Kluyveromyces lactis: one gene and its partner. The protein of the gene in region 2 purifies or fractionates together with the protein of the main gene of each other region. This does not show direct contact. Links are inferred from orthologs where the notes say so. Each region holds a gene or a part of one and is shown on either strand. Other genes may lie near its edges.

Region 1 (3,677 bases), on a different chromosome or scaffold from region 2:
GATGGTGGATTTTTGGCTCAGTGAAAGTACTGTGCAGTACCCCCAAAAAAAAAGATGCGTTTACAACCAACCTAGTTCAATGCCGTCGTGTCTATACTATATACAAGTTGCTTAATTATCGTTTATAGCAATTGTCATCTTTAAAATGGTGCACAGAGAAAACACAAACAGCATTTTGCAGCTGGAATTCACCAACGATCGCGCGTATGAATAGTCTTAACTTCGCTAGGGAGAAAAACAGCCAGTGCCAGGAATAGGGCCAGAGCCAGGTCCTGTGTTTGCACTCATGCTACGGCCTGATTTCTTTATTGATCGAACACTTCCTAATAAGGAAAAAGGTAAACAACTATGCATATTTACGTTTTAGGAAAAATGTAAATAAACCGATGGACTTTTCACAAAAGCTCATCGCTTTGTAATTTGGTGCTACCTTTCTGACAAAGAAGCATCAACTGACTATATGAGCAACTGAGCGGATTGGGGGGATAGGGCATCACTGCGCATACTCCATTGCAGTATTCCTTTGGGTACTCCATGCTTGTGGTTACATTTTTCTTTTGGTTATTATTACAGAATGACGACAACGTTCGGTGACTGAGGGAATCCTCATTAGATTCTGTGAAGGGGAGGGGCGTCTGCTATGAAGCCATAAATCAACGTAGAGGTTCTTTGTAGACATTTAAAATTTCTTTTGTGCTACTTCTCCCGACAGTTGAAGCATCTGTAGTGAGGTATTCTTCTTTATCTTAGAAGTAAGAAGTTTTTGCTGCGTCTGTCTCAGTGACGATAGAGAAAAAGTAGGCTTTAAGCGAACGATCACAAAAGCTTCTCACGGTTCTTAAAGCTTTTTCGGTGAATCTTTCCATACAACTGGTGAAGAATTTGTATTGTTCCGATTGGAGTGAGCCTGTTTTTTCTTTTTGAACTTTTCTGGTTTGTTGTCCCTTGCTGTTTCTTTATTATTGTTTTGTTACTTCCTCAATAGGTTAGTTTCCAAATCGAATCTGAATCTGATCCAAGCTTTTCAGATTCATTATTTCAATAAAGAGGTTTTAGCTTTGAACAATCCCAGTCCATAGTTGACAATAGTCGATAGGAAACATACTACCAAGAGTATCGCCAGCGGTGAAGACATTGCTATCGGTAGAGACAGTGATAGCAGAAAGCAAGTTGATCAAGAGATCCTACGTCTTGCTCCTAAAAAGAATCGCAGAGTTTTTTTATACTGGAATCAAGATCTGTTGGTATAACTCTTAATTATTGATCTCCTGCAGAACTCATTGGGAAATTGGTAATAGAATAGTTGACTGAGTTGATTGCTAAAGCAGGTACTAAAGAAAGTGCAATTGTCTTTCTTTCCGATCTCTTCTTTTTAACAGAAACTAAATTAAAGACAATTCTGTCAAAGCATTATGTCAAAGGATAAATATGATAGAAGCTTGAAAAACTTGAACATGCTAAGAAGACCAGTGTTAAACAATGTTACTAATACTACTGAATCTACGTTCGGTAAAGTTTTGAGGCAGGCTAAATCAAGACTGCAGAATAGCAGGACGAATAATCTTCCCCAGGGTACCGCAAACTCGTATTCGAACACAAAACCGGCACCATTGAGAGATGACATAATGGTACCTGAGGATAAGGAGAATTACAATCCGCTAGCTAAGATTGATGAAAGAGAGGAGCTGGATTCTAATCTAGTTCATAATCACAAATCCCTGGGTACACAAAAGCATGTTACGATCGATGAAAGACAAGAAATAATTGGATATTCACATCTGGATACTGAAAAGTCTGCTCCATCATCATCAACATACAGCAGTGAGCATACGGAAAATGACGGCGTTCACGACGTCAACCCAAATGTTCAGCGTTCAGATAATGAAGCTGATTTCAAGATGCAAACCACAAACGCTTTTCACGAAAACGTCAACGATGGCAGTGACGCAACAGATGATGCCAGTAGTGGAAGTAAGAGTAGCAATGAATGCCCTGCTGTTAACGTCGGAAACAGCCTTGCGCCTATGCCAATTGACGAAAATGCTAACAATAGCGCTAGCAGTGTCGAATTGAGAGCAAAGCAACTTCAGGTTGAGGATTCGAAAAAGAGACCAATAAGCACTGTCGTTGAACAAACGTTACCTAAGAAATTTAAAGTATGTGAAAAGGGTAAAGAATATGAATGGGAAGATCTTGATGAAGAAGATATCAATGATCCCTTCATGGTAAGCGAATATGTTACAGATATCTTTGAATATTTGCACAGATTGGAAATGATGACTTTGCCTAACAGACACGAACTATTCAAACATGCCAACATTCAGCAAAATAGGGATATTTTAGTTAACTGGATGGTAAAGATTCATAACAAGTTTGGCCTACTGCCGGAAACCTTATATTTGGCGTTGAATATCATGGATAGATTCCTTTGCAAAGAGTTAGTACAGCTGGAAAAACTACAATTAGTAGGAACAGCGTGCTTATTCATCGCTTCGAAATATGAAGAAGTGTATAGCCCCAGTGTGAAACACTTCGCTTACGAAACGGATGGTGCATGCGATGAAGAAGAAATCAAAGAAGGAGAGAAATTTATTCTAAAAACGTTAGAGTTCAATCTCAATTATCCAAATCCCATGAATTTCCTAAGAAGGATATCTAAGGCAGATGACTATGATATACAATCCAGAACATTGGCGAAATATTTGCTTGAGATATCCATAGTTGACTTCAAATTCATTGGGATTCTACCCTCATTGTGCGCCGCAGCATCTATGTTCTTATCGAGAAAGATGTTAGGAAAGGGCCAATGGGATGGAAATCTAATACACTATAGTGGAGGATATACCAAAGACGAACTAGCTCCCGTGTGTAATATGGTTATGGAATATTTGGTCCAGCCTGTTGTACATGATGAATTGTTTAAGAAATACGCTTCGAGAAGATTTATGAAAGCATCGGTAATTTCTAGACAATGGGCAAAGAAAGTCATGTCCCACAACTATGATATAATGACACTACATGATTCAGAATAAATCACGAGATTCGATCATTTAAAGAAACCATGATCCTTCCGGCCTTAATTACTGAGTATGATTGGCCATTGTAGTGCCAATATGAAATGTTATCGAGGGACTTTTTCCTATAAGAAGAAATTCGAATCACGGGGTCAGAGATATGGAATCAATCTGATCCAATACTCAATTAGTTTCTGGGAAGTGGAATAGTACATGTTGCGCGTTAAAGGGAGGCATTCTAAAAGCATACTAAACCCAAAAAAAAAAAAAAACGATAACTATACTAATACTAATCATAATAGAAAACAAACATTGTAATAATTAATCTAGCCAACCCACATGTGTCAATGTGTTTTCCATTCAACAGATAAAATGAGGATTTAGACCTTAGTGAACCCTTTACTTCAATTCACTTTTAATATTTCACCTGCTCAAAAACTCAGAAAGAGTTCTCTCAGGATCATCAGTATCAGCATTATGTTGCAATCATAGGTATACCCACCCCTTACCCTTTAAAGTATAACCACTTCAAATAATTTACTTCTTATGTACACTTAGCATGTTTCTGAACTAATTTCAATTAATGAATAAGTCATTTTTTAACTATTATTATTAGTTGATTACTCGATTAATTATTTATAAAATGCAATGGATATGATTATG
Region 2 (4,443 bases):
ATACTCTGCCAAGTATTACCGAATTGCTTCGCGTTGGAATATCAACAAGGTACGGTATGCAAAGATAAATGGATGAGGCTACATAGATAATTCAAGTTTTGGAAAAATATCAGAGGTATTAAAAATGTTCAAATACACTAAAATCATTATAATTTCAGATACTATCTAGCTTAAAGAGTGTTTGATAACTCATCATATTATTGATCCAAAACGCGAGTTCATTATATAAGAATTGTGGGTGTTAACCTATAAGTATGCACAAGTACGTGCATCCTCTAACGTGACCTCACGTCGTTATCCCCACCTGGTGTTCGTTTTTGTTCAAACGTTGCACACCACTGCATCTCTCTCGTTGTAATTTCTCATAAAGTCTCTGAATATCTGTTTAATATACATGTTCCTCATGTATATTTTTTATGTCAAAAAATTAAAAAACCAGTAAAAGTAAAAGGAAAATGAACGGAGCTGTTATTATGTCAGTATTAGGGCATTATAGAGAAAGAACAGACGTAAACTGGTTTATGTAAAGCTGGTTTATGTAAAGCTGAATATCATAACATGTTCTATATTTTCTTGAAGTGAATTAGGAGAAGAATTCTGGTTTTGGGCCGTAGTCATCCTCATGAATAACTGCACCTGTCTTTCTTGTTAGTTCTACATATTCTAATTCCTCGGTGCGGAGTAAATCAGATGCAGATGGACGATCTCTGTAATCCGGTTCGATCATCCATCTGATAGTCCTTTCCAGCGATATTCCGTCTAATAAAAACTTCGGTACCCACGCTGGAATTTTTGTCTCATGCGTTGTGATGTCAGTGATATTCGTATGATCTTTTTTATTGGAAAAGAGTGAGCTCGAATGGATCTCCGCACTACTTAATCTGCCAGCATCAGATAGATCACCAGACCTCAATTTATGCCATGCACTTCCGTTATCAGGCAAAATAACGTTAGCAGCGATTTCAATCATCATTAGCCCAAGGGAGAAGATGTCAGCACGGAAATCGTATATTCCGTCACGTATAATTTCCGGGGCAATATATTCACGGTCACCCTCGTTTTCAAAACTTTTATCTTCTATTGGCAACTTTGTAGCCATCCCAAAATCAGCAAGTTTCAAATTACCTTCGAAAGTTATGAGAACATTAGCTGGCTTCAAATCTAAATGAACAATTGAACAGGAATCATGGATGAATCTCAAAGCTAGACAGATTTCAACGATAATCTTCCATATCCTCCAATCTTCCAATCGTTGTTGTTTAGCAATGACGTGCTCTTGTATAAAAGCATCTAAATTTCCATTTTCGCAGAATTCTGTCATTATATAAAATGAACCTTTATGTGACCACGAAGAAATAAATTCTACGATATATTCCTTACCTTCTGTGTCATTTGTAACTGAATCCTGAATTGTTGACAACATATTGATTTCTTGTAGAATTCGATTGGTAAAATTATGTTTAGTTGGTCGTACACTTTTGATGGCGTATTTTAAACCAGTTTCTGGGAAAGTCACTTGGTAGACAGTAGAAAACTGACCTTTTCCCATTATGGATACATTACTGAATTTGGTCGTTAGATGGAAATCAGGGTTTTTCATGATACTTGCATTGATTGATCTTTGCTTCTCAGGTGGTTGAAGATGTGTTGGATCGTTTCGCAGTTTTGTCATGATAGCCAGAGAATCAGGACCAATATCAAAGGATGTTTTCGTTGGAGTTTGAAGATTTGTCTTTGAGGGTGACGGTGAAAAGATTGAACTTTCTTGATCGTGTCCGTACAAATCGTCCGTGATTTGTCTCAACATTGAGGTCAATTCTGTGTTCTTTACAATTTTAGTTCTCTTTTTAGATCTTGGATTAGAGGAACTGGTAGGAGAGTTTTCTGATGAAGGTAACACGGTATTTATCATCGGGGGAGATTTGAAAAGTTGGGAATCATACATCGTAGGAAATGTCGTCTGATTTTGTGCTGACATGATAGATGAATGCTCTAATATTGGTGTGTCCAAAAGTTCTTGGTCAGAATGTCTCGAAACCAGCGGAGACTTCTTCACAGGCGTATCTGGTATTGTCAACTTCTTGGGTAGAATTGTTTGTTTCATTTTGGAAATAAGGCCAGATGACTGAAAAGCTACAGGATCCGGTTTTGCTTCTGTAAACGAATTATTACTTTTTCCTGTAGTCTTAGTGGAGGACAAATCACTAGATGTTGCAGCATTCGTACTATGCCAACTCTTTAAATATGCAGCATTGTTCTTGGAAAATGGAGAGGATATATTGAATCCAGTCTTGCTCACAGTTCTCTTTAAACTATTAGATGCTGAATTGGAGGCACTTGTAGTGATGAGGGGCCTTTGAAGCTGTGGTACTCTGCTGTCGATATGGGACTGATTTTCCTCATTAAACTTTTGATCTTTCACATCAGGCGTTTCAGTCTCCAATGAAAGATTGAGAACACCAACACTTCTCGTAAGACCCAACGGAGTGTCATTAGAATTAGATCTTGAACTCAGAGGTTCCGAGTAAAACTTGAGATTATTGGAATTGTTACTGAAGTGCGAAAGCTGGTCATAGTAATGAAACTCAACGTCCAGGTCCATATCCGTATCAAGATCGACATCACTTTGGTATGCATGGTCAGTCTCTTCTTCATTTATGTCTTGGTAAACTTCTACCCGAGGTGAAAGTGCAGTGTTGACAGTTACGCGCCCAAAGTTTGGCTGCAGTGAGTTTTTCCGTTTCGATGGCATTGTTTATGTCGTGCTTTTGATGATCCCCTTCGATGAGTACTTTATTCTTCAGTGATTACTTTTTGTCACACCGTCGAGTAACTATTTACTGAAACAAAAACACCCAAATTATGGCCCCTTGGCGGGTGGGTTCTCGTTGTCCTTGTTCTGAACTGTCAAAACAGAACCTGGTACAGAATTAACAGACAACCAGGAAAGCTGTCTTAAAACAACAAACAATAGACTTTTGTCAACTATTGGAAGGATCCAATAGAACGAATCTAGTTGATGGTAGAACTGTGATGGTTAAAGTGTTGAGGTTGGTTCCTCTAGATCTCTTTTTTTTTGTTTTCACCTGTGTGTTTACTTCATCGATTTTTGATCTTCTCAACACGTCGTTCTGTTTCTATGTTTTTCGTTTTTTTTCGCGTGTTGATGATTTTCGTGGCAATCGTTAGGCAACTGCAAAGACGGGCCATTCCCTAACATAACACACTTGGCAAGAATGAGCCTGGCAGGACTATTATATGAGTGGAAGGGCAGAATTTCTATGTTTCAGTGGGGATCACTGTTTCTATCGAATGTGCGTCTGTTCAGAAACTTGCATATCGTCGTGTTTTTTCTTATCCGATTTGAATAAATAGACAGTTATGATAGTTCACAACGTATATAAGAACTAACATAAATAATAAATAGCAGGCACTTTATGATATGACGGCCTGATGCTGCAGTGTTTTGTGTGTGTTTATGTGTGTGTTTTGCTTGATTCTTGGAGTAGAAACTTATAAGTCTTGGGCATCAAGGGTCTTGAATTTTATAGGTTTGTTTTCTTGAGGGAAATCAATACCGTTTTCAAGTAATACTACAAAGGCCTTGGTGAATTCTTTAAAGAATGTGTCTTGGTCGTTTGCAAATTCTTTCACGATAGGCAAGTATTTCGGATCCTGTACCAAGGCCATATCTGTTGGTAACATCATCCAGCCCTTATCGTTGACGTATTGTTTGTTACCGGCATCGTTAGTGATGAGGTCCCATTTTTCGTTTAGCAGGTTGTTGTAGAATTCATTGGTGAAGATATTGGTGGCAGCACCCCATGGGCCTTCGAAGCCAGAGTTCTTCAAATGTGTCTTACCCAAAGCATGCGCACCCAACAATGCAACTACTTGTCTATCTTCGAAGTTTAGTCTGTGGAAGAAGCATCTCACGTATTTCGCATCTTTAGAAGCATCAGGTAATCTACCGTTTTCTGGAGTAGTATCCTCAGGTTGGTCCACACGACCAGATCTCCAAGGAATTGTGGGACCTTGCATCTCTTGAATCGCCGTAACGCCAGCCAAACTATATAAATCACCATGAGATAACCAAGGGTACTTCTCGTGGATTGGTTCCAAGAACTTCGCAGCGTTTTGCAACCCATTGTTGGACGGATCGTTGGTCTCCATCGCGAATCTGTAAGTACCACCGTAAGGACCACCGGTGTTATCCTTTGCATCCCAAGTACCAGCACAGTGCCATGCTAAACGTACTAACACAGGTCCGTAACCGATAAAGTCGTCGTATTCGTCTTCGTCCCTTATCTTGAGCGCAATATCGTTGTAAACTTTTTGATACTTGGCAACGTCGTATTTCTCCTTTGCTGCGACATGAGCAGCTGCTAACGCAGCCAATTTTTGTTTGTTATAATTACGATTGTTGTAATTCCTCATATCTTG

The links.
Region 1: the proteins of SWE1 (region 2) and KLLA0_D15543g purify together in Saccharomyces cerevisiae (affinity purification with western blotting; 4 studies listed by BioGRID, with this or other methods). This does not show direct contact. The link is inferred for Kluyveromyces lactis from reciprocal best matches to the Saccharomyces cerevisiae genes SWE1 and CLB2.

What each region holds. Positions count from the first base shown.
Region 1 is NC_006040.1:1,312,348-1,316,024, forward strand, and holds KLLA0_D15543g (cyclin family protein), read left to right. Parts: upstream 1-1,412; coding exon 1,413-3,032; downstream 3,033-3,677. Other genes in the region: KLLA0_D15521g (SDR family NAD(P)-dependent oxidoreductase), read left to right, coding at 1-24. UniProt on the Saccharomyces cerevisiae protein: Essential for the control of the cell cycle at the G2/M (mitosis) transition. Interacts with the CDC2 protein kinase to form MPF. G2/M cyclins accumulate steadily during G2 and are abruptly destroyed at mitosis.
Region 2 is NC_006038.1:657,900-662,342, reverse strand, and holds SWE1 (tyrosine protein kinase SWE1), read right to left. Parts: upstream 2,753-4,443; coding exon 584-2,752; downstream 1-583. Other genes in the region: CCP1 (cytochrome-c peroxidase), read right to left, coding at 3,514-4,443. UniProt on the Saccharomyces cerevisiae protein: Protein kinase that acts as a negative regulator of entry into mitosis (G2 to M transition) by phosphorylating and inhibiting the mitosis-promoting cyclin B-bound CDC28 at 'Tyr-19'.